4 linked regions of the Pelodiscus sinensis genome follow. Each later gene encodes a partner of the first gene's protein in a complex. Links are inferred from orthologs where the notes say so. Each region holds a gene or a part of one and is shown in the gene's direction. Other genes may lie near its edges. The genes, in order: TAF4, TAF8, TAF11 and TAF6.

What was found.
Region 2: TAF4 (region 1) and TAF8 share a complex: the UniProt entries of both Homo sapiens proteins name them as parts of the TFIID basal transcription factor complex. The link is inferred for Pelodiscus sinensis from reciprocal best matches to the Homo sapiens genes TAF4 and TAF8.
Region 3: TAF4 (region 1) and TAF11 share a complex: the UniProt entries of both Homo sapiens proteins name them as parts of the TFIID basal transcription factor complex. The link is inferred for Pelodiscus sinensis from reciprocal best matches to the Homo sapiens genes TAF4 and TAF11.
Region 4: TAF4 (region 1) and TAF6 share a complex: the UniProt entries of both Homo sapiens proteins name them as parts of the TFIID basal transcription factor complex. The link is inferred for Pelodiscus sinensis from reciprocal best matches to the Homo sapiens genes TAF4 and TAF6.

The regions. Positions count from the first base shown.
Region 1 is NC_134728.1:9,457,673-9,465,122, forward strand, and holds the start of TAF4 (transcription initiation factor TFIID subunit 4), read left to right. Parts: upstream 1-4,433; 5' UTR 4,434-4,458; coding exon 4,459-4,774; intron 4,775-6,767; coding exon 6,768-7,450. UniProt on the Homo sapiens protein: The TFIID basal transcription factor complex plays a major role in the initiation of RNA polymerase II (Pol II)-dependent transcription.
Region 2 is NC_134737.1:9,412,285-9,419,761, reverse strand, and holds the start of TAF8 (transcription initiation factor TFIID subunit 8), read left to right. Parts: upstream 1-4,474; 5' UTR 4,475-4,494; coding exon 4,495-4,563; intron 4,564-4,569; exon of another isoform or gene 4,570-4,841; intron 4,842-6,870; coding exon 6,871-7,027; intron 7,028-7,477. UniProt on the Homo sapiens protein: The TFIID basal transcription factor complex plays a major role in the initiation of RNA polymerase II (Pol II)-dependent transcription.
Region 3 is NC_134737.1:11,874,064-11,881,348, reverse strand, and holds the start of TAF11 (transcription initiation factor TFIID subunit 11), read left to right. Parts: upstream 1-4,271; 5' UTR 4,272-4,283; coding exon 4,284-4,517; intron 4,518-4,996; coding exon 4,997-5,139; intron 5,140-6,138; coding exon 6,139-6,226; intron 6,227-6,480; coding exon 6,481-6,577; intron 6,578-7,285. UniProt on the Homo sapiens protein: The TFIID basal transcription factor complex plays a major role in the initiation of RNA polymerase II (Pol II)-dependent transcription.
Region 4 is NC_134734.1:7,576,517-7,584,460, forward strand, and holds the start of TAF6 (transcription initiation factor TFIID subunit 6), read left to right. Parts: upstream 1-4,927; 5' UTR 4,928-5,057; exon of another isoform or gene 5,058-5,099; intron 5,100-5,203; exon of another isoform or gene 5,204-5,318; 5' UTR 5,319-5,333; coding exon 5,334-5,492; intron 5,493-6,292; coding exon 6,293-6,379; intron 6,380-6,888; coding exon 6,889-7,042; intron 7,043-7,176; coding exon 7,177-7,233; intron 7,234-7,717; coding exon 7,718-7,837; intron 7,838-7,944. UniProt on the Homo sapiens protein: The TFIID basal transcription factor complex plays a major role in the initiation of RNA polymerase II (Pol II)-dependent transcription.

The DNA.
Region 1 (7,450 bases):
AGTTCCAGCAACAATGAGTGCACAGACACCTAAAAACAAGATCCACAAAAGCTATTCCACTGAGGAACTGCCTAAGTTAGGTAATGAGAGATGCTGACCAGAGAGGGGGTGTGCTCCTCTCTGGGAAGGGCATTAATTCCAGGCTGCAGGAGAAGCATCTGCTTAGCAATCCTCAAATGAGAATCTGTTGGTTGAAATAAATTGCTTCTTCAGAGGAGTTATGTGCTAGCTTTACTTTGCATATAATAGCTGGAGAGGGTGTACACATGCATTTCCCATTTTAACTTTTAGCCTAGTAGTTAGACCACTTGCATAGGCTGTTGGACATCCTAGTTCAAGTCCCTCCTTTTTGCCAGAGCTGGTCCAATACACATCACTAGGCTAAATATTCAGATGAGCAGTACCTCCTCCTATGGTTCGATTTTTGAATGGGAACCATTCTGGTTAACAGTCTCTGAGCATGTCTACTGAGGCCCTGGTGAACACCCTAAGCAAACGCTTATCTTCCCTTGCTTCATGAATCCTTTTAATGGTTAGCGAGGAAAGAAGCACACAGATGTCAAGAGGAAGACACCTCTGTGTAAGCCTACAGACACCAACACAGAGGCCTAAGGAACTTTTACTTTGAAAACTTAAGTGCTTACATGGTTTGACATTAATTTTGTGGGGTCAAAAACTTGGGCACCATATCTTTCATGTATCTGGACCCATGTGACCATAAACTAGGTTCTAAATGCCAGGACCAGCCCTGCCATCAGGTGAACTGAGGCAGTCACTTCAGGTGCCAGACTGTGCTGGGGGAAAGAGGGGGGGCAGCCCACACCACTAGGACCCAGAGGCTATGTCTATACTCAGCTTCTTGCATGAGAAATATGCAAATGAGGCTAAGCATGGAATATCATGGAATATCACTGAGCCTCATTTGTATACCTAATGAGCTGCCATTTTTGCAGAAGAAGCTCTTGCACCAGAAGGAGCTGTCTACACTGCCCCTTCTTGCACAAGAAAAACCATCTTGCACAATGCCATTGCACCATTTTCAGGAATAACAGCATTGTGCAAGAGGGTTTTTCTTGTGCAAGTAGGGGTAGTGTAGACAGCTCCTTCTGGCACAAGAGCCTCTTCTGCAAAATGTCAGCTCATTAGGTATGCAAATATGGCTCAGCAGTATTCCATGCAGCCTCATTTGCTTATTTCTCACACAAGAAGCTGCAAGTGTAGACATAGCCAGAGCATAGAAAACTGTGTCTGCTGCTGGTGCATATGTATTCTCTCTGCTCTAGATGCACAGAGACAGTAGAGTGCTGTGCTGGAGGGCACAAGAGACCTTTTTAAATTTTGGCCTAAGCAAGGGGGATGTGGGGCATCATTTGAGCTCCCCATCTAAGGTGCCAAAATGTTCTGGGCCAGCCCTGCTAAATACCTTAAAGTCATCATCAGCAGAAGAATGTAGAGTCCTGCTAACTCTTCATGCCCTTAAGATGTCATCTGCTCCTCCCTAGTTGCTGCCTGCCCATAATACTGCCAATTAGTGATTCCATCACTCCCTCTTGCTGTTTTAATTCTGCCTTTACTTAACCTCTTCTCCCTTACCCCCATTCTCCCTTCCATTGTTCACTTTCACTCTTTTCCATTATGTCCTCAACCTGAGGCTCTGCTGTTCCCAGCTAGGGAAAGGGGAAGAAAGAATAGCTTTTGGCTACCTTTGCTGCTCTAAGTCTTTGGAACCATCCTGGCAGCACCTGTAAACTACCCTCTATCCCACTTCAGGGATGTACTTGGACCTCTACTCAAGATTTCCTGTGTCTTTTTAGTTAACTGAATTGGAAATTATTAATGCTTGTAATGATAGAGGTATGCCTACCTACAGCAGCAGCAGAAGGTGCCATTGGCTGGTAGAAGAGGCACTTAAAGGAAAGCTCTCTGGCCACATCATTACTGGAATTGAGCAACAAGCCCTCAGAACACTTATTTTTAGGACACAACATTTGTTCTGTTCAATATTGATACGGATTAGAAATAGATCTTGGGAGATTTGTGAAGAAAGAGGTCCTTTCTTTACTCCTTTCAAGGTGACGTTATAGGTTATATCACTGAAAACAAGGATAGAAAATATATTATTCATTATAAAGGCTAATTAATTGACATGTTTGTCCAGGGGAATTCAGACATAGGGATTAATATATTGCAATGTCTAAAGCGACTCAAACATTGTGTAAGATATTAGAATGCTAATAGGGGTGCTTTGGAGGGAAGAATAAAAACCACAGCATGGAGAGATCTATCTATGAATGGGGCAAAATTGGCATCTCTTATTTTGGAAGACTTTATAACCATAAAGCAATGTATTCGTAGGAATCCAATACCTCTTAAGGAAAATATTAGCTGCAAACGTGTTGAGGAGCAAGGCAATTTTCTAATGTCTTCCCTTCACATGAATTTGGATAGCTGACTACCACTTTATAGACTGACCAGCTGACTTTTAGGGTGGGGCATTTGTGACTAAAATACACAAGGTTTTCTGCACTATTTTCCTTCTTACAACTCAACATTGCTTGAAAGACTCAATGTAACTGAAGTGATGGTTACATGGATTAGAACAGATGTAGAATGCAGAAACTAAAGATACCCTAATAAGTATAGTAGAATACTTTGTCTCTAGTCTAGTTGAAGTAAAGAAGCTTTGGAGGAAATGAATCACTCTGGGCTGCAAAAATGGAGACTTGTCAGTGACACTCATTAGGACCTGAAGGGCCACACACTGCTAAGTGATAACAAGCTACACAGGATCTTAGTCTGCTCCTACTGCAACAAACATTTCAACATTAAGTGCTAGCCAGCTCAAGTGACCAACAAAACAGAGGTAAGGCAAACTTATAATTTTAGATTTATAACGTTTAAACAAGTGGTTACAACCTTAACTTGCCTACTGTAGACCTTTACTTAGTGGTAGCATAAGAGTCACTGTACACTGCAGAAGAAATTTTCATCTTGCAATTAATGTTATTCTGGACTTTGAAGGTAGTGCTTAGTAAATAGTTTCACTATTAAAGGACAGGCTGCATTTTTACCATACCTGAACTTCCTTTCTTAAGATGACACAATGTTCAAGTTCAATTTCTATCTAGAATCTGTGTAAGATTAGTGATCAAGAAGCAGATTACTTGTATTGCTAAAGACTACTGTCTCCTCTAAGCACCTTTGGTTTTACAAACTAAATGGGTACTAACCTCTGTAGTACTGTTCAAAATGGAATTTAAGAAGAATGCATTTCTCTGGCGGTGATTTTGAATACAACAGTCCATTCTCTGTTAAACTGTAGCTGTTCTGGACTCAATGCTTTAATTTCCTCTGAAAGGCTGAAGTCGTGGACAAGATGTTTAGCAGTAGATATTCGGCTAAAATCTCCTCCCTCCTTCCATCCCGCCTTTCTGTTAAGCTTTCATTTCAGCTCAGCCACCTCCCATTTTTTCCCCAGGACTTTAATCCAAGCACCCCAATCCCCTCCCCCTTGTATACGCATTCACCGCGCTCATTTATTATAGCCTGTCTGGTGGCAGGGCCTGCCCACCCCCAGACCGCTGAGTCAGTTTCCTAAATTCACGTTCAGGGAAGCTCGACAGCACCTTGCCGTGCACACAGATTAGTGGCGCCTTCCCCTCCCGGATCTTCCCCCTGCAGCCTCCTTCGCTCTGTCCCAGGGAGCTCCCGCAGCCGCTCGGCGCGAGCCGAGAAAGGCGTTTGAAGTCCCCGCGGAGCAGCGGCACTCACTGCCCGCGGGCCACCGGACGCGGCGGGGGGAGGGTGGCTGCTTGTGTGGGGCGCCGCAGCACAGCCCCGCCAGCCGGCTCCTCGCCCTGCAGCTCGCTTTCCAACCCGGGAGACAAGGCTGCCCGGCCGGGGGCTCAGCCCCCTCCCGAGGCTGGGCGTGGGGCCTGCGGCCGCGTCTCCCCCCCCCCCCTTCCCGGTGGATCAGTTACACGCAGTTGGCACAGGTGTGGGGCGCCCTTCAGACTCGCTCTGGCGACACGGGCCAGACGCAGCGAGCAGCAGGGAGACATGCAGCCATCTTGAGCGCAGGCGGACAAAGAGCCGCCCGCCCCCGCCCGCGCACCCCTCGTCTCGCCCCGCGGCACGAACCAGCCTCACCGCCCTGCCCTCCCCCCGTCCAGCCGCCACCGTCCCCCCCCCCCCCACCACCTTCAGCCCCCGCTGCTCCTGCAGCTTCGCGTCCGGGCCGCCGCCGCCCGACTCCCAACTAAACCTTCGCAGCCATTTGCCCGGGCTTTTATAGGCGGCTGGCGGCCAATCACCAGCCAGCGGAATCCCTCTCCGGCCGGTGATGTGAGCCGGCTCCCGTGCGCCTGCGCCGTGAGAGGGCAGCGTGTGTGGGGGGGGCGGGAGGGAGGAGTGGAAGGGGGAGGAGGGAGCAGCTCACAGGAACCCTCCAAAAAAAAGATGGCGGCGGGCTCGGATCTGCTGGATGAGGTTTTCCTGAACACGGAGGTGGATGAGAAGGTGGTGAGCGACCTGGTGGGCTCCCTCGAGTCCCAGCTGGCGGCCTCCGGCCATCACCACCAGCACCACAAGGCGCAGGAGCCCCTCAGGACCGCTGGGGGGCTGCTGGGGAACCATGTTGTGAGCAGCAGTAGCAGCAGCAGCAGCCCTAGCCCTAGCCCTGGAGGAGTAGTAGTAGGAGGCAATGCTAATGTCCAAACAGAGAGCAGCAGCAGCAGCAAGATGGGACTCAGTGCCCCAGAGATCACAAAAGCAGGTAACCTGGGCCGGGGTGGGGGGCTCTCTGGGAAAGGGGCCTCCCCTCCCCCCACTCCCAAGCTCTGACTGCCTCCCTCCCTTACTGCTTTCCCCCCTTTTCCCTCTCTCCTCCTCGTTGTTGTGGCAAGAGCTGGAGTGCAAGGGGCGGTATAAATCATATTGGGGAGATACCCCCCCATACACCAGGCCCTTTAGTATATGTCTGACTGTGCCCCTCTTCCTCCTCGTTCCTGGGGTGTAGAGGAGGTGTTTCTTGCTATATAGGGGTACTGCACCCCCTTAAGAGAGCCATAAACAAGACACTGATGGGTTATCAGTCCCTTTTCTTTTTCTCCTGTTGTTGCTGGAGGGTAAACGGGTGCTATTAATCAGAGGAGTCAAGGAGGGGAACTAATGGGGGCAAACTACCCCTCTGATGATGATTTTTCCCTCAGTTTGTCTGAATATTCCTCTGCCTTCCCTGTTGCTGGTGTATGTTGATTGGTTTTATTGGGGGGATTCCCAATTAATAGGGCCTTCCAATTTCTGTTTGGGTGCTCCTTCCCTTCCCCCTTCTCTGTTGCTGAAGTGCAAAGGGGTGTTATTAATCATGACACCCATTTCCTGTATAGGAGGAAGTGAGGAGGGATTTCAAGGGGAAGAAGCCCCTAAAATGCCTCCCCCCTCATATCTGTCTGGGTATTCCCCATAACCCCTCTTGTATTAGGAGTTTGGAGGGGGTATTCAACACATTTCATTCCTCGTTCTCCCTCAAGGGGGTGTCATGGCAACATAAGGTCCTTGGATGGGGGGGACGGGACGACTGAGGGCACAATCCCTATCCTCCTCAGATGGGCTTCTCCATATGTTACCTGTGAATGTTTTCTGCTTGATGGAGGAGCTTTGTTTTAAGAGGATGATGTTAATCACAATATTAAGTCTCACTTTATGAGAGTGGGTGGGAGGTTGTTTTTAGGAAAGAGAAAAATATTCTTATCTGCCCAGTATCTATCTGTTTTATGTCCCCCCCCTACTATTTTCTGCTTCTTGTTGCTGAAATGTAAGAGGATGCTTATATTAATAATAGCAGATCGGTAATGAGGATTTTGCAGGAGGGTCCTCTTAGCTATTGAGACACTCATATTATAAGGGTTATCTGTGACAGCTCCCTTCTCATTTCTCTCTCCTTAATTCAGGACCTGGACTGCCAAGTCTGGTGTTAATTGTGATACCAGACCTCATTAAAATGGGATGAGGAGGTCTTAGAGTAGGAGGGCACATTGTAGTGTCCTCAGTGCCTGAGTCTGTTTTCTCCCCATATTTGTCTTTGATTGTGGGAGCTTGAGGAGCAGAATTACAACAGCACAGGCCCTGGTGTGAACAAAGTCCTCTTTTGGCAACTTTTTCTTTGTCACACTGACAGTTTTCATCCCCTATTTTTTACATTATTGTACTAGTTTAACTGCATGGAACTACTAGGTTCCTCTACAGGACATGAAAGAATTGGGGGGTAAAGTGTGCAAGGTGTAGAGGGCACAGGGAAGACTTTTTTTCCCCTCCCTCCGCATCTTTTAAAACATTTTTTCTCTAAATTCATTAACTGGAATGTAAAGGAAGTTGTTAAACGTAATGTCAGGCCCTGAAATGTGGGAGAGAAGAAAGTTTAGGATAAAGATGTATCCCAGCTCTTTTATTGTCCAGATCTGTCCTGTTGTATGTCTGTCTGTCCTCTTTTTCTTGTTATAGTTGGTTCAAGGGGTGGCTATATCTAATATCACTGCTGCCAGGTGTGAATATGGGGCATAGAAGGGCTTCATGGTAACCTCTCTACCCAGAAAAAGATAATTTGTATTTTCAGCCCATTTTTTTTCTTGTCTCATTCCAGACAGTATGGAGGACGTGGGGGCGAGGGGGTAAAGAAGAATTGGGAGGGTGGAGAAACACACTCCCTCTACCTTTTGTTTTCACCTCCTGCACATTCTCTCCATTGAACCTTCTTCTTGTTGTTTCAGGGGCTGGAGGAGTGCAAGGGGGTGTTATTAATCATAACACCAGGTCCCAGAGTTCAGCTCTGGATGGAGCCACTACAACCAGCACCACCACTGCTGCAGCAGCAGGAGGAGGCGGATCTGAAGCTGCTGCTGCTCCAGGGACCCTCAGTCAGGGCAAATCTGTGGTTATCAGTACAATGGCAACTGCCTTATCCACCAGGAATGGCAAAATTGGGACCACAACGGTGCAGACTTTGAATGGGAGTAATGTGGTGATGAACTCTCACCATTCGGGAAGTGCTACTTTCTCTGGGACTCCTGCAACTGCTAATCCTGCTGCTGCACCTACTGTTGCCCCTCTAGTTAACAATGGACCTGGATCTGTGGGGAAAGGAAATACAGTTAATGCTGTTTTGCCTTCAGCTTCTAACACTGTCATCCAGACTTCTTTCCTCAGCACCGCTGTGTCCTCCACCTCATCCCCATCCCCCACAGTAATCTCTTCACAGCCGTCACCAAGCATTGTAGGTGCGGGGCCTACTGTAGCACTGGTGAGACCACCAATTCACACAGCAGGACCCACGGTTGCTGCAGCTGCTGCAGCCACTCAGAATGGGAGCAATACTGTGATCAATTCAGCCATCAGTGTGGGTGTAGGGAGTTTTCCTGCTGTTGCTGCAGTCACTGTGGGCTCTGGAGTTTCC
Region 2 (7,477 bases), on another chromosome or scaffold:
CCAAGTAAATCTTTTTGTTTACTGATATTTGAAAAGTGTGTGGCGATTCTTTGATGGAAGAGACAATGGACATGATTATCAAGTGCCACTCTGGGTTATAGGTATGGAATTTTAAAAATGTTATAGTGGAGACTCTCTTCTCCGCTTTTTTTGAAAGGAGATTGTTTTTGTTTTGTGACACAGAGTTTGTTGGGGACCCCAAACCAAACAGGTATGAAGTGATTTCCCCTGTGCTTGTCAAAGAGATAAAAGGGGTCCTTACTAAGGGTGGGCAAAGACATTTACAACTGATTTTAGTGATGCGCCACCTAAACAGAGCCTTAACCCTTCTCTCTGCTTGTTGTACAAGACTCACAGCTCAGTCTGCCAATTAATGTGTCACAGGGTCTGCTGAAGCCCTAAAGTTCCCATTTATCAGAGCCCTCTGAAATACTCGATATTTCAAACAACAGGAAGGCTCATTTCCAGTCCTGAGGAGATCAATTGGAGAACATTCCAGGGCCTGAGATAATAATACAAATAGCAATAACAACAAGAATAATAACACTTTGTGTTGGTATCACACCTTGTACCACACAGGTGTTATTAACACAGGTGGGGAGATGATATTGTCATACTTCCAGTTGCACAAATGGGGAGTGCCCTAGACAAATTGGAGGACTGGGTGACAAGAGGCTGAGGGATTTGGGCTTATTTAGTCTGCAGAAGAGAAGAATGAGGGGGGATTTGATAGCAGCCTTCAACTTCCTGAAGGGAGGTTCCAGAGAGGATGGAGAGAGGCTGTTCTCAGTGGTGACAGATGGCAGAACAAGGAGCAATGGTCTCAAGTTGCCGTGGGGGAAGTCTAGGTTGGCTATTAGGAAAAACTATTTCTCTAGGCGGGTGGGGAAGCACTGGGATGGGTTCCCTAGGGAGGGGGTAGAATCTCCATCCCTGGAGGTTTTTAAGTCCCGGCTTGACAAAGCCCTGGCTGGGATGATTTAGTTGGGGTTGGTCCTGCTTTGGGCAGGCAGCTGGACTTGATGACCCCTTGAGGTCTCTTCCAGCCCTATAATTCTATGATTCTGTGAAGCTCATACACAACAGTCCCGTGCCTAAAGTCACCAGGGGTACGTGCACACTGTGGCACTATTTCGGGATACTTCCGGTATCCCGAAATAGCTATTCCACGTCTTGACAGCATGCCCATTATTTCAAAATATCTTTCAAAATAATGGGCATGCTATTCCAACATCCCTGTAAACCTCATTCCACAAGGATTACTTTGAAATTTGGTGCTGTGTAGATAGTTTATTTCATAATTTGGTGCTATCTCGAAATACACTCGAAATAAACTATGCAATTTGTGTAGCTCAAATTGCGTAGCTTATTTTGAGCTAAGAGTAGATGCACCCCAAGTGAATGAGTGACAGAGGTGGAAATATGTCCTAGGCTCTAACTACTAGATAATACTCCCTCACTACGTACTGTGCTACCACCTGCTTATCCCTCACAAGTGCTCCAGTTGAATGCCTGAGTTTTTGGTCCTCATGCTCTAAGGGTAAGGAGAAGTTGAACTCTTTTTCATAGGCTCTCTTGCCTCGACTTAGAGACTGTTGATGTAGTTACACAGCATAAATGCACCACTGTTCACTGCTCTGGTGTGGTGCTTGATGCTGATATGTTCTCTCAGCCATCACCATATTCACATTTCACATCCATTCCTACCCTGGGTTTCACATCATGGTATCCCAAGCTTGGCAGATACATGACACGCAGTGAATTAACATCAGGGCACCACAGAGTTGTGTCACTTTCTTGCTATGGATTCAGGTATGCCACTTTGCAGCTGGTACCAGCTGTTCCATGTTATGAATTGCTATCGGGTATGTCAAGCTACAATTATGGATTCAGACATGCCATGTTAAGAATCACATAAGCCAAGGTGCATATATGAATTCAGGTGCGCAGTGCTAGTGGTAGATACTAGGTATGCATACATATTGCATCTTGGTTTGAGAGTCAGCTATTATTTTTATAAATATTGCTGTCTAAGTCTGGCCCCGTAATTTAGCTTCAGGCAATAGCAGTGAGTTGAGGTTTTCAAGCCTGATTACCTGAAGCGCTCCTTCCCCTTTTCACCTAAACTGGATCAGATCCATGCCAAGGGTTAACCCGTGGATTTCACTAGCACTTGTTCTTCCCACAAGTCCTGCTTCTCAGAAGTACTGAGCCACTGCAACTCCAGTTACAAGATGCAGGAACTCGACATCGGTGAAAATCACACCATGTCTTTTGCAAGAAGACACAGACATCTCTTAGCTCACCAATAGGCAAAAAATCTTCTACACCTCCATTCCAGCAGGTCTGGCAAAAAAACACACACTGGCCTGGGGCTACAGAAGTTACTGTGTCACAGGTTTGTAGGGTACTGCACAACAAGTGGCTATATATATATACACACACACAATGAACCCGGCACTAAGATCTACTTCCAATAAACAATCACTCCCTCTAAAGCACCTACTCTGAAGTGTCTTCAAGATTCTTATGTTCAACCAACCTCTTGGGAACTAATTTTTCCTCTTCCTTTGTTGCTTATGACATGATCTCTCTCTCTTTCTCTTTCACCTTTTCAATCTACAATTTACCATGAAAATACAACTAAATTGCCTCCTACCTTTGTTGATGATGAATAAATTAGCTTCACGGGGCACGTTTCCTTTCAACAATCCAGTCTCTCCTCTCCTCCACCCCCTTCTTTTTCCATGGGTTGCTGTTTTCGCTACCATCGCTGCTGAAAAAAACAGCGCTACGTGGAAGCTGCATTGCAATCTGAATTGACCGAGATCAGGACCTTTAATTTCCAGCGTGGCAGCTGTTGTTTACATTTCTTTTTTTGCAATATGGTTATTGGTTCCTAAGATGCTTTCTCTCCCCACGCATATGTAGTTACACAGGAAACAAGAGGTGGGAGCTGTAGGAGGGGGGCTTCCTGTTCTATAGTTTCTGAAGCACACAACCGACTTCACCAAAGATTTGATCACAAGAGCTGAACACCCTAAAAGGGAAATTGAAGCTTGCTCAAGAAGCACTGCGTACTGAGAAACAACCTGAAGAATATTTCACGCAACCCAAGTGATTTAGGTTTTCATATGAGCTTGACAAGAGACATTTTTGTACATTCAAATTTTCCATTTGTTGGATACAAACTCAGAAGCATTGTATTTTTGGCAGAGACTTAGGTCTTGACTCTAAATAGCCATCATACCCCATAGCACTTTTCATAATGACAGGGTGGCATGGGGAAATTCTAAATTCAAGTAATAATGCTCTCATCTACAGTACCATAATTCCCCCCTGCAATTTCAACTGGATACAGTGTCCAGACAGGTCCCAGCCCTGCAGCGGTTGAATTTCAGTGATGGGTGAGGAGATCCCTGTATCTAAGTTTGCAATTGCATTTGGATCCTTTAAGATGAAGGGTTCTGAGTAAACGTCAGACATTGTATTGTGGTCGCCAAAGTGGTAAAGAAATGAAATGATTAGCTAGGGTGAAATAAGTCCTGGATTGGCATTAACAGGGCTAACAGCAATGTCAGTTCTTTACAACCTAACATACCAGGTTCCTTCTCTGAAGGACAACTCAACTATTGACCCCTTATCTCACAAAAGCATAGAGCTCTTTTTTCATGAGCGTCCTTTCAATTGGACTGCAGTTAGGGAGAATAGATAGTTTCTTTGTGTAGGCAGGCACCTCATCTCTTGCACCGTACCACTTTCTAGCAGCAGTGCTCCCTGTAAGCTGTGTGTTTGTGCGGCCACTCCGGAGAGATTCAAATGCTGCCCAGCTGATTAGCAGAGTGCCCATAGTTTCTATGGGCTTCGGTGCACACAGAAAATTTGTTCTGCACTTGGACAGAAAAAATCCACACGTGAATGGGAAAGATTAGAGGGAACATTGTCTGGCAGCCCTTGTGCCATTGGCTAGCATACAGACTGAGTGGCTCTTTAACACATTTGGGGGTAGATCTTGGGGACACAGCAATCTGACAAACTGCTTCTTGGGAGAAGCAATGGAGAGAAGAATTTTTCAGTCATGCGCTGGGCCAGTCTCACACAAAGCCCTGTCTTCTGGAGGCCGGCCAGGCTTGGGCAGGAAAAATAAATTAAAGATGCTCTTGCAAATTCCACCCCCTAAGACTCCGGAGTTGACAGCCAAATGAGACGGGGCAGCAGATCTGAACTTTGATGCTGGTCCCTCCATGAGCCCTGGAATAGTTAACAGTGATACCCTGGCTGTAAGTCACTGGGCCTTGCAATTCACTCTTCTTGGAACTGTTTCAGGCTCTAACCAGACTCAGGCAGGCAGCTCCCCCTAGGCCTCCTCCTGCAAGTCCATGCTCAACCCCAGCTTCCCCATCACAACCCCCATGCCAATGGGCTCTCCCTGGAGCAGGCTGCCCCAGCCTCTCTTCAGGACTACAAGTCCCATAATGCCCCGCGCGGCCACGCATGCGCGTCGTCGCCCATGGATTCAAGATGGCGGACACGGCGTCCAGCGGCTCGAGCAGCTCGGGCACGGTAACGGCGGACACCCCGCGGGGGATAAGTTCCCTGCGGAGCGGCCAGCGCAGGGGTCAAGGGGGCCGGGGAAGCGGCTTCTCCGACACGAGCTGAGGCGGCTGCGGCCCGGCTGAGCGGCTTCGGGGCCTACTGGGCCGAAGAGCGCGGGGCGCTGATTGGCTGGTCTGCTGGAGTAGGCGGGGTTTGGGGTGGGCTTTGGATTGGCCGAAGTGCCTTTAGTGCTTCTGATTGACGGCGATTCCTGCCAATCGGAAGGAGTTTGAGGGAGCACGCAGGTGGGAGCATCTTAAAGGGACAGTGTATGAGGGGCCCTGAGCCCCAGAGCATCTCGTGCCCTGGCAGGGCTTAGCCCAGGGGCGGGGCCCCGTTGCTCTGGCAGAGCCTGGCACTGGGGTGGGGTGCCCACGCTAGGCATGGGGTGGAACAGAGGAGGGGGCACGTGGGGCCTGGGCACCAGCTCGCCTGGGTTAGCTCCAGGCGCCGTGCTCCGGGTACAGGCGGAATACGGTCCTAGAGTCACAGCACACTAGAACGGGAAGGGACCGCGAGAGGTCAAGTCCAGTCCCCCGCCCTCACGGCAGGACCAAGCCCCATCTGGACCATCCCTGACAGGCGTCTGTCCAACCTGCTCTTAAATATCCCCAGGGATGGAGATTCCACAACCTCCCTAGGCAATTTATTTTAGTGCTTAATCACCCTGGCAGGCAGGACGTTTTTCCTAACATCCAACTGTTTCAAAGCAGCAGTCTAGACCCCAGCTGACGCTGGGCTGCACACAGTGTTTCAAATAGGCAGTGCTGCGTGGAGCCCTGGTGCTGCCACTTTGAAGCACTGTTCCTCCCCCCCCCCCCAGCTGCCTCTTTCTGATAAGTGCCGCAAAGGGAGGGGAAGTGACTAGTTGACTAGCATGTCAACTATCCGATAAGCATTTGCTTATCGGATAGTCGATTAGTTGACTAGTTGTTCACATCCCTAGTTAAGGCCTCATCTGTGTCCCTCCCTGTGCCTCTCTTTGCCCGTGTGCACGAGCAGGGTAAGCACATGCTCCCATGCAAAAGGGAGGCTCCTTCATCTTTGAGATCCTCCCTGAGATTAGGTGCTAGAGAGACAGGAAGTGTTATGGCAGTATTGTATTATCACTGTTTTACCAAGCAGGGTAACTGAGGTATGCAGAGGTGAATGGGCTGCTTTTCAGAGGCATTGCAAACCCACAGCTGCTGCTGGATCAGCTAGGATGTGCTGTTGCTCATTACTTCTAATTCATTTCTATTATTTATTTGGCTTTCAGTAGCAGCCAGAATGTGCTAAGTACTTTCCTAATGTACAACACTTTGTCTCTAGCTCAAGGAACCTGCAATCTGAGAAGACAAGAAAATAGTGAAGGAGAGAGAAAACAAACAATAACTATTTGATAAATCAAGGCAGAGGCGGAGGCCTATCACCTTGTCTCTTGCTGTAACCATTACACCACACTGTCTTGTTAATGTTCCACTTGTAACTTGCTCACAGTTCTGCCCCTGAAGCCCTCTGAATTGTTCCAGAACTGAGAGTCTTATTCCACTTCCATCCCATTTGGTGACTTGTGTGATACTACAGCAGAATCAGTGTGTTTTCCTAATACTTTTTTCCAATCTGTTCTTTTGCCACATTGGCATAGGAGGGGTATTTAAGTCAGGGCTTATGTGATGTTGGCAGAGCTGAGGTTCTACAAACTAGTAGTAGACTCTTTCATAGCATCCTTTTGTACTCTATGGCTGTGTCTAGACTGGCAAGTTTTTCCGCAAAATCATCTGCTTTTGCGGAAAAACTTGCCAGCTGTCTACACTGTCCGCTTGAATTTCCGGAAAAGCACTGACTATCTCATGTAAGATTGTCAGTGCTTTTCCGGAAATACTATGCTGCTCCCGTTCAGGCAAAAGTCTTTTTCCGAAAGACTTTTGCGCAAAATGGCCAGTGTAGACAGCACAGTACTGTTTCCGCAAAAAAAGCCCCTATCGCGAAAATGGCAGTCGGGGCTTTTTTGCAGAAAACTGCGTCTAGATTGGCCACGGACGCTTTTCCGCAAAAAGTGCTTTTGCGGAAAAGCATCCTGCCAATCTAGACGCGCTTTTCTGAAAATGCTTTTAACAGAAAACTTTTCCGTTAAAAGCATTTTGGGAAAATCATGCCAGTGTAGACGTAACCTATGTGTGTAATCAAGTGGTATTGTCTTTCACCTCTTGAAAACCATTGTTGACATCCTGGTCTTCAATAGTCCTCTGTTTTTGTTTTGTTTTTTGTTTTTCCTGTGGTCTGTTTCTACAGAGATCAGGAGGCAAACACTCAACAACCCCTGCAGATAACTATTACTTGTCTCGGAGAAGAACTTTGCAGGTTGTTGTCAGCTCCTTGCTGACAGAGGCTGGGTTTGAGAGCGCTGAAAAGGCAGCAGTGGAAACCCTGACAGAGATGTTACAGAGCTGTAAGTATCTTTATGACAGATGCAACTATTTCAACTAAAAAAGTAGAGATTTTAGGGGCCAGAGTAGTTTTTGAAATAAAATATGATGGTGTTAAAATCAGGTATTCTCAGTGGAAATAAAAATGGGTACCTATGATATAGCCATGTTGCTATAATGTTAACATGCTTGACAAATCACTGGAGTAGTTAATGCTGAAACAAAAAACAGGACTATGTAGCACTTTAAAGACTAATAAGATGGTTTATTAGGTAATGAGTTTTCGTGGGCCAGACTCACTTCCTCAGATCAAATTGTGGAAGAAAATTGGCATGACCATATATACCAAAGGGATATAATCAAAAAAAGTGAACACATCTAAAAAAGACAAATCAAATTTCAGAATGGGGGGAGGGGAGGTAAATGTCTGTGAGCTAATGATATTAGAGGTGATAATTGGGGAAGCTATCTTT
Region 3 (7,285 bases), on another chromosome or scaffold:
CTGGTCCTATCCTGCAACTGGACCCATGAAATACTCACCATCCACTTAGCCCTTCTTCAAAGAAAGAGGGAAAGTGCCATTTGACATGGAAGAGCACCCGAGTCTTTCAATTAATCCTCCAAAATCCCTGAGGGCCTTTATAGGGATTCATACATGTGTTAAATCCACTGTTTAAAGAGGGAAATGTAGCAGTTCCCCAGCATCTGCCTGTCTCAGTGCCATCCTAACCAAAGGCAGGATCCAAAATTCCTGTACTTCTGCAGTATTCATCTTGCCTGGTCCTCAAACCCATGTGCCAGAGGTAGTGTCCAATGCTCCACCTTCCCATCAGAGGGAATGCCTGGTCTCAGATCTCCTGCTTCATGACTGAAAGAGGGTACAAAGGGGGACAGGATGACATTTGCATATATTAATAAAAGGGAAGAATAATGCTCTGGTTGCTTGTCCTGTAATGAATAAAATGGAAGCAGATGAGCCTGTTTACGTATAATCTAAGACACATGTAAGAGGCAGCCTCCAGTGATATCCATGTGTTAACCCCTCAGCCTCCTACCCCACAAGAAGCATTATACATCAAGTTTGACCCAATAATCCAGTTAGTATTTTGCAAATGTAATGTGATTTGGTAGGGCAAAATCCTACCACTAGGGCAAATGGCTTTTTGGCAGTGTTATCAACAGAAACGGTACCCTTCCAAACCCACAAGGCACCCCTGAATTCAGATTAGAGACACAAAGCAGCAGGGCAATATGGGTGATAAAGTAGAATGATGCTGCTCAGACTATAGCTGCTTTGCATATAAACAGAAGCCTCCAGAGCATAAAGCTAGCACCTTCCATTAACCCTAAAAATCACGTTTCTTTTTTAAAAGAACATGCTGCCTCATGTTTTTGAAAAGTTTTCTGTTAAAAGCATTTTCGGAAAGTGCGTCTAGATTGGCACGGATGCTTTTCCGCAATAGCACTTTTTGTAGAAAAGCGTCCGTGGCCAATCTAGACGCGCTTTTGCGCAAAAAAGCCCCGATAGCCTTCTTCGCGATCAGGGCTTTTTTGAGGAAAACAAATCTCAGCTGTCTTCACTGGCCCTTTTGCGCAAAAGTTTTGCGCAAAAGGGACTTTTGCCCGAATGGGAGCAGCATAGTATTTCCGCAAAAAGCACTGATTTCTTACAGTAAGAAGTCGGTGCTTTTGCGGAAATTCAAGCAGCCAGTGTAGACAGCTGGCAAGCTTTTCCGGAAAAGCGGCTGATTTTCCGGAAAAACTGGCTAGTCTAGACACAGCCTAAGGGTACGTCTAGACTGCGATGCTATTATGGGATACCAGAAAAATCTCAAAATAGTAACGCCACATCTTTAAACACTCCCACCATTTCCCAAAACAGCGGGCACGCTATTCCGGCATCACTGTAACCCTTATTCCACGAGGGTTAAGGGATTTGTCAGAATAATGACTTATTTTGAAATTTGGCATGGTCTACACGGTGCCAAATTTCAAAATAAGCTGTTTCAACCTAGACTGGGAATAAGCTACACAATTTGCATACTGCAAATTGTGTAGCTTATTCCAACAAAAGGGTGCTGTCTAGATGCACCCTAACAGTCTGTGTTAGGTATGCCCTTCCATAAGAAGGCTATATAGCAGACCATAACCTTCAATTAATTCTTAAGATAGGCAACTTGTGCCTGGGGGAGGGAGGACCAGCAGAGAAAGAGGGAGAGGGCAGGAAGGGGCACCTCATTTAGCAACTGAAATTCTGACAGGGATGCTAGGGGGTGGTGTATCTCTTAAGTGCTATCACAAGTCTCCAGTGATTCCTACCCCCAACTACTCTTCCCTCACAACCTAACTATCACCCTAGTCAACCCCCAATTTAGCTGCTTCAGAAGGTAGCCAAGTTAGTCTGTTACAGAAAAAAAACAACAAATGGTCTGGTAGCACTTTATAGACTAACAAAACATGTAGATGGTATCACAAGCTTTCATGGGCACAGCCCACTTCTGTGCTCCTTTCTTTTAACTCCTCCTTCCTGGCTTCAAATCAATTAGGTGTCATGGTGTGGGGTTAGAGACACTGCAGTTTATTAACCCCTCCTGGCCAGCATAATGTTCCCATCACACCATCTTTCCCGCATGTATTTTAAAGTGTTTTCTTTATGGATTAATATTCAGTAATAATCATAAGGCAACTAAGAGACTCACCTTTTATAAAACAGGAAAGAGTTAATACTCTCAAGAAAGAAGGCTTGAATTTTACTTGGCAAACAGATACCTGACATTTGTCAGCATAATGAGATTCATACAGGAAAAGCTTCTGACTGAACCAGACGTTTAAGTAGGTAGTGTGCTGCTATTATCGTGAAATACAAATGACATCTCTCATTCATTGCTATTGTGCAAAAAATGGGACTAGAATGATTGAAGATGTAGATTATCCTCATTAGTTCAGTGGATCTTTTAAACTACCTTAATGTATTAAAGACGTAGAATTAACTTCTCCTTAGTGATTTCTGTTTGTTCAATGAAAGGATTCTTCTTCAAGTCACATACAGTGGAACATAAATAATGCTGACGTAGGATTACAGCACGAATTACTGGAAAAGAATAGCACTGAATCGGAATATAGATATGCTGGTATAGTTTCCATAGTGTAAACATATGATAGTCCCTGCTACAAACATTGATTGATACAAATTATGTGAGCATACACATGCAAAAAGTTATATATCACTTAGGTGAATGCATATGGCTGCTCCTGTCAGCACTGCATATATACCAGGAGTGCTTGTGTTGATGTAAAATACACTACACTACAGTTAGGTACCTCAGAGTGACATGAAGACACTACAATGCCTTTTGGGACATTTTTCCAAGGTTTTGCAGTATAGCAATGGCTCATCCAGACACCTCTGGAAGCGAGGGGTCAACTTCCCAGCATGCAACTTTCTCCATCTTACAATGCCATAATTTTCACTTTTTTTAAATACACCACAAACCTACATGAAGTATTTTGGTATCTGCTATCTCACACAAAAGCATGAAGCACCTAGGGCTTTGCACTATTGTCATGGAAATTGCACATACACAGTGCACAAGTGTCCTGTATTTGCAGACCCTCAGAAAGTACCACCACCACAACTGGGGACAGGAGGATTTCTTTGACACATTGCTTCACGACATAGCAAAAATAATTCAACGTACTTGGTAGTGTTCATGGAGCATTTGCAGGCAGGGGAGTGCCACTTCTGAGCTGAGAATGAACACTGACTGGTGGCACTACACTGTAATGCAGATTTGGGAAAGAAGTTGGCAGAACTTTAGGATGTGAAAGGCCTCATTCCTAGACCTGTATGCTAAGCTTATCCCATCCCTCCAGAGTAAGAGTTTCGGTCAGGATTTCATCAGTTACATCATCCTAATAGTCTTGACTACACAGAAAAAGAACAGCATGTATGTGTAGTACTGCAGGAGAATGATGTAATCAGCTGTGGCCCCGAAAATAATAAAATCTCAAACCTTTAGCACTTTTCAGTCAAGGATCTCAAGCCCTTCACAAACATGAATTAATCTTCACCATAGCCCTATGAAGAATGTAAATAGTACCCATTTTACAGACAGGCAAACTGAGCCACAAAGACGTTCACTGACATGTCAAAACTCGCATACTGACCAAGAGCGGAGCTGGAAACAACTCAGGACTCCTGACTCCTCCGTCTCCCAGCCTAACCATTATCCTAATGATGATAACATCTTAGCGTGCTGTGCTGGCCAATTAGAAAGCAACAATGCAGAAAATTATCACCTCTGCTTTCGCCTCCCCAATTGGTTTCCTTCATCAAAGAAACAGAGTCAGCAAACAACTCATTATAGGACCTTAATGAGAAACATTTATTTGCATTAAGGATTATAAAGTCCTGTGATAATCCTGTGGGTACCCCCAGGGCCTAGGCACGAGGGATCTTGCTTCATTCACCCCAATGCTCCCCATCTGCTCTGTACTCCCGAGTCCCCACTCCATGCCCACCTTACCCAGCGCTCCCTCCTCCAACACCCACTGCTCCCCCTGGTCTGTGCCCCCCCCCCCTTCCTTGCCACTGCTCTAACCATAGTCGGCCGCCCCTCCCCCACTCCAACCCCAGGCCCCGCCCCCACTCTCACACCATTCCCCCGCCCCGCGCCCCGCTCCCCGAGGGCTGTCGCGTTGCCATGGAAACAGAACTCGCCCGCAAGCGGCAGAGCTCGGGCGCGCCCCCCCCCCCCCACACACACACCCCGCCGAGCCGTCGCGATGACCTCATCGGCGCGCGCGGCCTCCGCCCAGGCGATGGCGGACGCCGCGCAGCCCGGCCGCGAGGAGAGCGGGGACTCGGGCCCTCCCCAGGAGGCTTTCCCGCCGCCCGCGTCGCCGCCGGGGCTGGGGGCGGCTCCCGCGGAACCGCCGGCTGCGGCCGAGACCCCCGCGGGGGAGGCGGCCGAGCCGGGCGGGGGCAGCGAGCCCGCGGCGGACGGGCCGGCGGGGGAGGTGAGGGGCGCGGGGCGGGTCACCACAGAGAGATTCCTGCGGCGGCCGCGTGACGTCATCACGCCGTGCCCCCCCCCTCCCGGGCAGAGCGCGAAGAGGAAGTGGCGCCCCTCCCCCCTCCTGGCAGCAGCCCGATTCCCCCCTGTCTGCCCCCCCCCGCTCCTGCTCCCCCCTTGGTGCCTCTAGTGAGGCAGCAAAGGGGGGGAAGCGACTAGTTGAGCAGGGACTAGGCCACCCAACAAGCCTGAGATTATCCCGTAGTCGACTAGTCGCTTCCACCCCCCCCCCAGTCCCCCGCCCCTCTAGGCTCATGCGCCGCTAACCAAACAGTAGGCTGCTAGGTGAAAGCGTGTAGGGTGTAATATTTATCATCCTGCTCTGGGGGTGCTTCCTAGTACTGCGCACAGGCCACCATGGACGGACATGGGTCGTTTGGAACCAACAGACCTCACCCCGCTAATTGTTCTCTCTTGCGGCAGGTGAATAGCCAAGAAAGCTTGGAATTGGGCTCAGCAGAAGCAGAGGATCCTGCATTGGCGGCAGCCAAGAAGATAAAACTAGAGATGAAAGAGAAGAAAGAGAAGAAGCACAAAGTAGATGAAGACGAGATTCAGAAAATGCAGTGCGTGCACCCTGTTATTTCTAACCCATTTGACATCAAGTTTGGTTATAGGATATGGGATGTTGATTAACCTAGAAACTTTTGCTTATAAGTTAATGCTGTAGACTACATGCACACATCCCTTCATTTTTTTAGCAGGCTGGCCTGCAGCATGACTCAGTCTGGGCTTGTGCCAGGTCCAGGATGTACCCCTGCTGCAGCTCTGCATTTAATGAGTATTAGGAGCCAGAGGGGCAGGCAGCCCAGCTCTGTTCAGGCTCATACTGCATCCAGGAGCTGAGTCCCCCCCACCTCCCTTCCCCAGCTGCTATTCTGCACTGCTGCCTGTATATTAGAGGCAGCAGCATGGGGCAGCAGGTCTGCAAGGGGAGCTGGTTTTTAAACCCTCCCCTCATGGACCAGCTCCCACCTTACACCGCAGCACGGAGTGGCAAGGGGGTCCTCGGGAGTGGGGCTGGATTACATTGGCTGCAGGCCTCACCCTTGTGGATTATAGAATAGTTGAGTAATCAATAAGAATTCATGAGGTTAATCGACTATTCAGTTAACCCATATTTAACATCCCTGTACGGGATTTTATTTTATGACAATTTGCTCATCAGACTGAGTTTAACTCACCCAATTTACTGTACAGAGCTTGCTGATGTAAATGAAAAGTACAGTAGTATGTAATATGCCATGTCATTATTTTAAGCCTAACATTGGAGACTATTCCTTAATAGGTTGTCTTTCTGATTTTTGCCTTCATAAAGGAAGATCTAAGTCAAGCTTGTAAACCAAAACAATTCATCTGTCTCAACCTTGTGTGTTAGATAATTAGGGCACAATCTACCCCCTCCTTTTAGTGGTGTGTCTTATGCTTAATAAAGTATTTAGGGCTAAAGTGGCACGCTGTAGTAACAGACCATATGTAGATTTGGGTAACTTTTCAAAATGCTTTTTAAGATGAAAATAAGTCCACCTGTGTTCTCTCATAACTGACCTGTTTCCTCCTTCCAGAATTTTGGTTTCTTCCTTTTCTGAAGAGCAGCTGAATCGCTATGAGATGTACCGCCGGTCTGCTTTCCCCAAGGCTGCTATTAAACGGGTAAGTTTTTGCAAATAGTCAGTCCACAGAGGAACATATCCAGCTTGGTACGTATAAAAGTAAGTGCATAAAACATCATTATAGATTAGGTCACAGTTTGAGTGCACAAGTTTTCAACTATGGAATAGGTGTTGAGCACTGAAGTCCACTTGTGTTGACTTCAGTAGTTACTGCTCAGTATTTCCCATGCTTAGACTAAGTGTTTCTTAAAGTCTTCACCTGCAAAACTGAATTACATTTTCTTTTGTTTCAAGCTGGTCCAGTCCATTACTGGTACATCTGTGTCTCAGAATGTGGTTATTGCTATGTCAGGGATTTCCAAAGTCTTCGTTGGGGAGGTGGTAGAAGAAGGTGAGTAGAAGAGGAATATTGTAAAAGTGGGGGGAAATATTCCTAAGAATATATTGTGTAAAGATCACTATAAAAGCAGAGAAAAAAGCTTTTGAAGTGAAATCATGTAGTTTCAACAGCTTAGACCTTTGTCTTAGCATCTGTATAACTCTGAAATGAATCATTTTGTCATTAGAGGCATTTGGCTTGTGGTCCGCAGATTTACATTGAGCAGGGTGGGTCGCGGGCCAAAAAGTTTGAGAACCACTGCCTCACAGTATCTCTATTTGAGATGAGCTTTCTTTCATGTGGCAACTGGAGAGGGATGGATGTAGTGATCCAATAGGTTCTTTCCATCTCTGTATATTAGGGATGTGACTATTTAACTGGTTAACCAGCAGGTGCCTGCTCCAGACGGACAGGGGGCCTGTTGCTGACAGGGGCTGCTCCTGAGGTCCTGATTGAAGCAGACAGAGGTTGCAAACAGGGCACAGCTGGTGCAGCCCCTGCCTGTGATGGGGCTGGGTGCTACAATCCAGCAGAGAGAGAGAGTGTGAGTGCGCACGCACACATGCGCGCGCTCAAATTGGGCTAGAGCAGCCTCCCCCCTTTAATTAGTTAACTCTTTGGTGTCCAACACACTAGCCACATGTGGCTATTTGGCTGATTGAATGTGGTCAGTTGGCTTGAACAATGTGGTTATTTGGCTAGTTAAGTTTGACTAATTTA
Region 4 (7,944 bases), on another chromosome or scaffold:
TTTGAGGATACCGGAGGTATCCTGAGAAAACCCTGCTGTGTCCAGGGAATGCGTTTGCACTTCCGCTTTTTTTTTGCGGAAGTGCAAATGCGCTTTCGGAAGCCCCTGTATTCCTCCTTCCACGAGGAAGAAAGGGGCTTCCGAAAGAGAGGGTTTTTTCTGACATTTGGCCCAGTCTAGACGGGCCAAATGTCGGAAAAGCCTCTTTTGACAAAAGAATCAAGACAAGACAAAACCTTGGGCTACATCTACATTGCGCATTCTTGCACAAGAATATATGCAAATGAGGCAGGGCGATGAATATCGTCGTGCCTCATTTGGATATCTAATGAACCTCCATTTTGCGCAAGAAGAAGCAGTTTACACTGCTGCTTCTTATGCAAAAACCCCCTCTTGCGCAAGAGCTGTTCTGCCTGAAAATAAGCAGCAGAACGGCTTTGTGCAAGAGGGGGTTTTTACACAAGGAGCAGTGTAGACAGCTTCTTCTTGCACAAAAGCCCCTTGTGCAAAAATGGCGGTTCATAAGGCATGCAAATGAGGCACAGCGATATTAATTGCTTTGTAGCCTAGTAGTCTAGACCTAGCCACTGGATGTTTTCAGAGAACTATTCACAATGACTTCAAGATCTCTCTCTCGAGTAGTTGTAGCTAAATTAGTGCCCATCACGTTGTACATCTAGTTGGGATTATTTTTTCCAGTGTGCATTACTTTACATTTGTCAACATTACATTTTATTTGCCATTTTGTTGCCCAGTCACTTAGTTTGTTGAGAGCTTTTTAAAATCTTCACAGACTGCTTTGGTCTTAACTATCTTGAGCAGTTTGGTATCATCTACAAATTTTGCCACCTCACTGTTTACCCTTTTCTTTAGATCATTTATAAATAAGTTGAATAGGATGGGTCCCAGGACAGACCCTTGGGGAATCTCACTATTTACCTCTCGCCATTCGGAAAACTTATAGTTTATTCCTGCCCTTTGTTTCCTATCTTTTAACCAGTATCAATCCATGAAAGGACATTTCCTCTTATCTCATGTCGTGTAGTTCGATATATTTTCGATCCAAGGGAAACCAGGACACTCTAGGGAGACTTAACCACTTTCTCATTTATTACAAGCTTGAAGCAGTTAATACATTTGTTTAAGTTTTATAAGCCTTAAAAACAATTACTATATAATTTAAACCTTAAATACTATAGATACTAAAGCAATTAATAGAGCTCAAAGCAATGCAAAAGCAATTAATAAAAAAAAAATCTACTATAATAAAGCCTAGTTCACTTACACTTCACCCATATGCTACCTATAGTACCAGGCAGGAGGTCTTGGTTGATTCCCATGCACTGGGAAGGTCCTTTAATTCCCATGCAATGGAAAGCCATGCACTGGGGTGCTGGTGAGAAGGGCCTACTTACTTCTAGCTACATTAAGCAAGATCTGTGGGTCAATCCTGCCCATTGATTGTTCTTACTAAGCCCATTTTATAGCATAGCAAGACTTTCCAATGCCCTATTTGCAGCACGTCCTTCTCAGGATGTTGCTGTTATGTGTGTGGTTGACAGTTGTATGACTGTATCTGTAATTTTTGCTTATCAGAAACAGAAGTACCAATATAAGGTTGCTTTTTGTGTGGTCTCACTGTACCACACTTAATCTGCATTGTTATTCAAAACATTCCTACCTCCCAAACCTTTCCTGTGTGAACCAGACTTGAGACAGGCCTGGGTTTTGCTTTTTAGAGATATGAACCGGGGACAAGTAAGACATCACCATTTATTTTCTAGGCAAGGTAGTCCAGGCTCCACTACATCCTATGACAACTTACTTTGCTTTAGAGCTTTTGGTGAGGGACCTTGTCAAAGGCTTTCTGGAAATCTAAGTACACTGGATCCCCCTTGTCCACATGTTTGTTGACCCCCTCAAAGAACTCAAGTAGATTAATAAGGCGTGATTTCCCTTTACAGCAGGGCTGCGGCCGCATGTGGCTCACAGCCCATTTGTGGCCCGTGGTGTGGTTTGGGTTTACATGGGGCTCAACACGAGGCCCGCGGGTGGGATCCTTTGAACATGGCCTGGGAACACACTCGACAACGGTGAGGCGTTCTCAGGCAGGGTGAGCACTGAAAGATGCAAGTGGACAGGCTGGCAAAACAGATGGGTACAGGGTGTTGGCGTTTCTAAGCCTCCAGAGAGGAGATGCGGGGAATGCCAGGGCATTGTGGAAATTAATGGTTGCTTACCCTTGTGGGCAGAGCCTGAGAGGTGCTGACTGGCTCACACTGGCCACATTTGGTTCCGGTGCTGCAGCTTAAGGCTTAATCATTGCATACATGCCTGCCAGTGTGAAAGAAGCTATTTGCATGTATAAGCAACTACACTTAAGATGCAGCCCTTGGCATGTGCTGTATCATTATGGTCCCCAGGGCTTCCAAAATTGAGTACTCCTGCTTTACAGAAACCACGTTGCCTTTTCCCCAACAAATTATGTTCATCTATATGTCTGACAATTTTATTGTTTACTATAGTTTCAACTAATTTGCCCAGTACTGATGTTAGACTTACCAGTCTGTAATTATTAGGATCACCTCTAGAGCCCTTTTAAATATTGGTGTCATGTTAGCTATCTTCCAGTCATTAGGTACATAAGCTGATTTAAAGGATAGGTTACAAACCACAGTTAATAGTTCTGCAATTTCCAATTTGAGTTCTTTCAGAACTCTTGGGTGAATGCCATCTGGTCCTGGTGACTTGTTACTGTTAAGTTTATCAGTTTGTTCCAAAACCTCCTCTAATAATTGTCCTCAATTTGGGACAATTCTTCATATTTGTCAACTAAAAAGAATGGCTGAGATTTGAGAATCTCCCCAGTATCCTCAACCATGAAGACTGAAGCAAAGAATTGATTTAGCTTCTCTGCAATAAGTTGATCATCTTTGAGTACTCCTTTAGCATCTCAATCGTCCCAGGGCCCCACTGGTTGTTTAGCCGGCTTCCTACTTCTGATGTACTTAAAAACATTCTGCTATTACTTTTTGAGTTTTTGGCTAGCTGTTCTTCAAACTCCCTTCTGGCTTTTTTAATTATATTTTTACACTTAATTTGACAAAGTTTATGCTCCTTTCTATTTTCCTCACTAGGATTTGACTTCCACTTTTAAAAAGGTGTCTTTTTATCTGTCACTGCTGCTTTTACCCAGTAAAGCCACAGTGGCACTTTTTTGTTCTTTTACTGTGTTTTTTAATTTGGGGTATACATTTAAGTTGGGTCTCTATGATGGTGTCTTTGAAAAGTTTCCATGCAGCTTGCACAGATTTTACTTTTGTCACTGTACCTTTTAAAAATTTTGTTTAACTATCTTCATTTTTGTATATTTCCCCTTTCTGAAATTAAATGCTACAATGCTGGGCTACTGAGGTGTTTTCCCCACCACAGGGATGTTACATTTGATTACATTATGGTCACTATTTCCAAGCAGTCCAGTTATATTTACCTCTTGAACCAGATCCTGCTCTCCACTTAGGGCTAAATCAAGAATAGCTTCTCCCCTTGTGGGTTCTGAAACCAGCTGCTCAAATAAACAGTCATTTAAGATATCAATAAATTTGATCTCTGGATCCCATCCTGAAGTGTCGTGTCCCCAGTCAAGATGGAGATAGTTTAAATCCCCCACTATTATTGAGTTTTTTGATACCCTCTCTAATTTCAATACCACTGTCCTAATCAAGTGGTCAATAATATATCCCTACTGCCACATTCTTATTATTGGAGCATGGAATTACTAGCCATAGAGATTCTATGGAACATTTCGGCTCATTTAAGATTTTAAGAGTGGGGGAAGGGCATCTTTTCAGCCAGCAGCACTTTACCATCAAGGTCAGTTCCCAGGCAAAATGGCCCCAAATCTGCAAGGGTTTGTGCAAAGGGAGAATTTGTCCTGGTTTGGTCTAAAAACAATAAGCTAAAGGTTTGTGGATGGAAATTTTCAGCCTTTCATTATCAAAGGGAAGATTTGCTTTTGGAAGTTGGTCAAAGAGAAATTCTAGAGTTTGTGGGGAAAAGGAAACTGGGTTTTTGGGCATGTGCCATGCAACCTATGACATGCAAAGGGCTTGGAGAACCCAGGTGTTCAGGACACCAACTCCTCCCCTTCAATGCTCCCCGGCCCCATTTCCCTCCTAGAATCAGGGAGAGAACCCAGGAATCCCGGACCCTAGCACCTACACTTACAACATATTGTATTTGATGTGCCTCTTCTGATTGCCCCAGTTCCAGCACCTCCGAGGTACTTACATACTGCCAGGTGGTTAGCAGCTGCCCATGCAATGCCCCATGCCCTGTCCCCCACCCCCAGTTCCTATATAGCCCATATGGATCTGCTAGTGACGGCTGCCATTTCTACACTGAGGCTGTGTCCCCACCTCTGGCCTGGTTCTTTCAGCCCCATACAGACCACGTGGATATCTCAGGAGACCATGGCTCCCTTCCCCATCTTAGCTTGCAAAGCACAGCTGGCCTGAACCCCAGTCCCTAGCAGTTCCACTCACCTCCCCACACAGGCCATGGCCCCTTTAAGAGACGCGCCCCCATTACCTTCGCAGGGGGTGGCTCGCCTTTCCTCCTCCTCAGCTGCAGCCCCAGCAGGGGGAGCCGCGTAGCCCCGCACCAGTCCTAGGCTAAGGCTGCTAATAGCCGCGGTGGCCCTTTAAGGGGGGAAGGGGAGGGAGGGGATGAAGCATGAGCAGTAGGCGCCTCGCAGAGCGCAGCAAGCGGGAGAGCGACGCATGCGTGGGGATGTGGCGTGCCTCTAAAAAAAAAGGGATCTGGACTGCTCATGCGCGTCATCAACCAAAGGCTGGGGCGCTAGCGCGCATGTTTTCCGCACTTGGCCATGTTGCACATGCTTGGTAGAAAGGAATCCATGCGCGGCACGCAGGCGCCGTCCTAGCTGTGAGGCACCACGCACACAGGCACTGTCCTCCTCCCGCGCCCCATCCCGCGCCTGCGCAGTGCGTCCCTGCCCGCCTGCCGGTCTCCAGGGCTGGCCCCGCCCCTCGGAGGTGCTCGGGTCCTGGCAGGGGTGTAGCGCGGCACCGGGATCGGTGGGGGAATGTAGCGGGGGCGAGGAGGTTGCGCCGCAGCGCGGGCGTGCAGCTGCCGGGAGAGGGAGGGGCGCCGGCACGGTGGGGGGCGGGAGTTAGGGGAGGGGCTAGGGAAAGGGGCGGGGCCAGCCAGGTGGGGGATGGGGCCCTTGGGGTCCGGGCCGCGCAGTGGCGGGAGGTTCCGCCGCCCCGGCCCGTGTCTCACCCCCCTCCCCGCAGGTGCGGCGGGGCGCGATGGCGGCCGAGGAGAAGAAGGCGAAGCTGAGCCACACGCTGCTGCCGGCCGAGTCCATGAAGGTGATGGCAGAGGCCGTGGGCATCGCCCAGGTGCCCGAGGAGACCTGCCAGCTGCTGGCCGACGAGGTCAGCTACCGCGTCAAGGAGATCACCCAGGTACGGGCACCCCGTCCTCGGCAGAGGGGAGTGACCGGAACAGGGATCCCTCCCCGCTGCCCATTCCCAGCCTCTGACAGACTAGGATAGCCACTCCCACCCATCCTGGCTAATAGCTATTAATGGACAGAACCCCCGTGAACGTATCTAGCTCTCTTTTGAACCCAGTTAAAATCCTGGTCTTCACAACATCCTCCATCAAGGAGTTCCACAGGTTGGCTGTGTGACAAACTACTTCCTTTGGTTTGCTTTAATTCTGCTAACAATTGATTTCATTTGATGACCCCTAGTTCTTGTGCTATGGGAACAAGTAAATAATTTCCCTTATTTACTTTGTCCACACTGGTTGTGATTTTATACACGTCCATCATATCCCTCTTTAGTCTCCTCTTTTGTAAGGTGACATGCCCCAGTCTTATTAATCTTCCTCTGTCCACGGCATCTCCCCTTCCTTCCCTGGCATTGCCACATCCTCTCGGCTCCAGCAGATTGCCCATGTATGGGCAGGGGGTCCCACAGGCACTCTCTGCCCCTAGCATTGCCTCACTTCCCTGTCTTTGGAAGATCACCCAGCTGTGGGCCCCCGGACATTGTCCTGAGCAGTTGGTGGGTTATGGAAATCACACGGGTATACAGGGCCCCCAGCTGTCCCAAGACCCTCCCATCCAGTTTCTGGCCCGAGGAGAACCTCATGCACCCAATGCCTCCACCTCCCAGTTGCTCTGCTCCTGCCCTTGGTTGCCTGAGGGTCCTTGGAGCAGAGAGGGGTGAGACAACCCTCACTTCCCATTTGCCTGCAGGATGCTCTGAAGTTCATGCACATGGGCAAGCGTCGGAAGCTGACCACCAGCGACGTGGACTATGCCTTGAAACTGAAGAACGTGGAGGTAAAAGGGGCAGTCCCAGCCCCGAGGAGCTTGTGGGGCAGGCTCTTGGCTGGCATTGGAGTCCTGTGGGCTTGGGGGCCATCTGAGTAAGGCCATGTGCTTGGTGCTGGGGAGGGGAGGACAGTTCTGAAGTGCAGAGGGGCTTTTCATGGATTTCAAGGCCTGAATTCCTAGAACAGAGACTCCCCTGAGCTTTGGGGGGGGGAGGTTCCCCCTGCCGGTCACTATGGTAGGGCGCATGTAACATTCAGGGAGACAATTTCCAGCATAGGTATATGTTTTCCCAAGGACAAAATGGTGCTCCTCTCCCTGGTGCAGCAGGTGTGTATTGCACAAGGGACATGCCAAAAGGCAGGTAGAGCCACAGAGCCAGGCTGTATTTACTGTTGGGAGCCAGGCATGTATAGCACGGGGGCTGTGCCGAAAGGCAGGTAGAGCCATGGAGCTGAGCCAAGGGAAGGCTCTGACATGGGGACTCCAGCTCACCCTCTATGTCCCTCTCCCCACAGCCGCTGTATGGCTTTCATGCCCAGGAGTTCATCCCCTTCCGCTATGCCAGTGGGGGCGGGCGCGAGCTCTACTTCTATGAAGAGAAAGAAGTGGATCTGAGCGACATCATCAACACGCCACTGCCCCGTGTCCCGCTGGACGTGTGCCTCAAAGGTGGGGGCAACATGGGGCAGACAGGGATGAGGGGGCATGGAGAGCAAAGGATTATGTGGGGGCAAGGAACGGGAGGTGCAGCACCCAGCCTGCAGTGCTGCTTGCCCCTGATCCTTCTCTCCGCTCCCTTTCAGCTCACTGGCTCAGCATCGAAGGCACTCAGCCCGCCATCCCTGAGAATCCGCCCCCAGGTGAGTTGTGGAGCCAGGTGTCCAGGTGCAGTGCCCCACAGGGACTTGAGTTGTCTGCTTCCTGCGTGTCTGTTCTGTCTGGGCGCTTGGTCTGCAGAGCAGGGTGACTGACAAGCTTTTCCAAGTGCCATCTGCTGTGGTCCCCGAAACTAGAGACTGATCCAGCAGCCTGGTCAAAAGATAATGCATTTCCTACTGAGAAGTGCCCTTGATGTTGTCCTGTGTCCTGCCCTAGACATAGCTGCATTTCAGCATTGCATGTGGGGTCCCTATGTAACCAGCTGCCCCATTCCAGAGGTGTCTGCATTTCTGCGCTGAGCGAGGGGTCCTTGTGTAACCAGCCGCTCCATCCCCGAGGTGGCTGCATCTCCATGCTGGGCGAGGGGTCCTTGTATAACCAGCCGCCCCACCCCAGAGGTGGCTGCATCCCCGTGCGAAAGGGCTGTGCCTTTGGGGCTGGCTGGTGAACCTGCTGTGTCTCTAGCCCCCAAGGAGCAGCAGAAAGCTGAGGCCACAGAGCCGCTGAAGCCCACGAAGCCAGGGCAGGAGGAGGTTGGGACGCTAAAGGGTAAAGGGCAAAGCGCAAGTACTCCGGATGGCAAAGGTCAGTCCCAAGCAGAGCAGCAGGGCCAGGGGCTTCGAAGGCTGGGAGAATGGATGCAGAGTAGTGCTGGGGATGGGGCCAGTCACTAGAGGGGTGTAAGCTGTGGG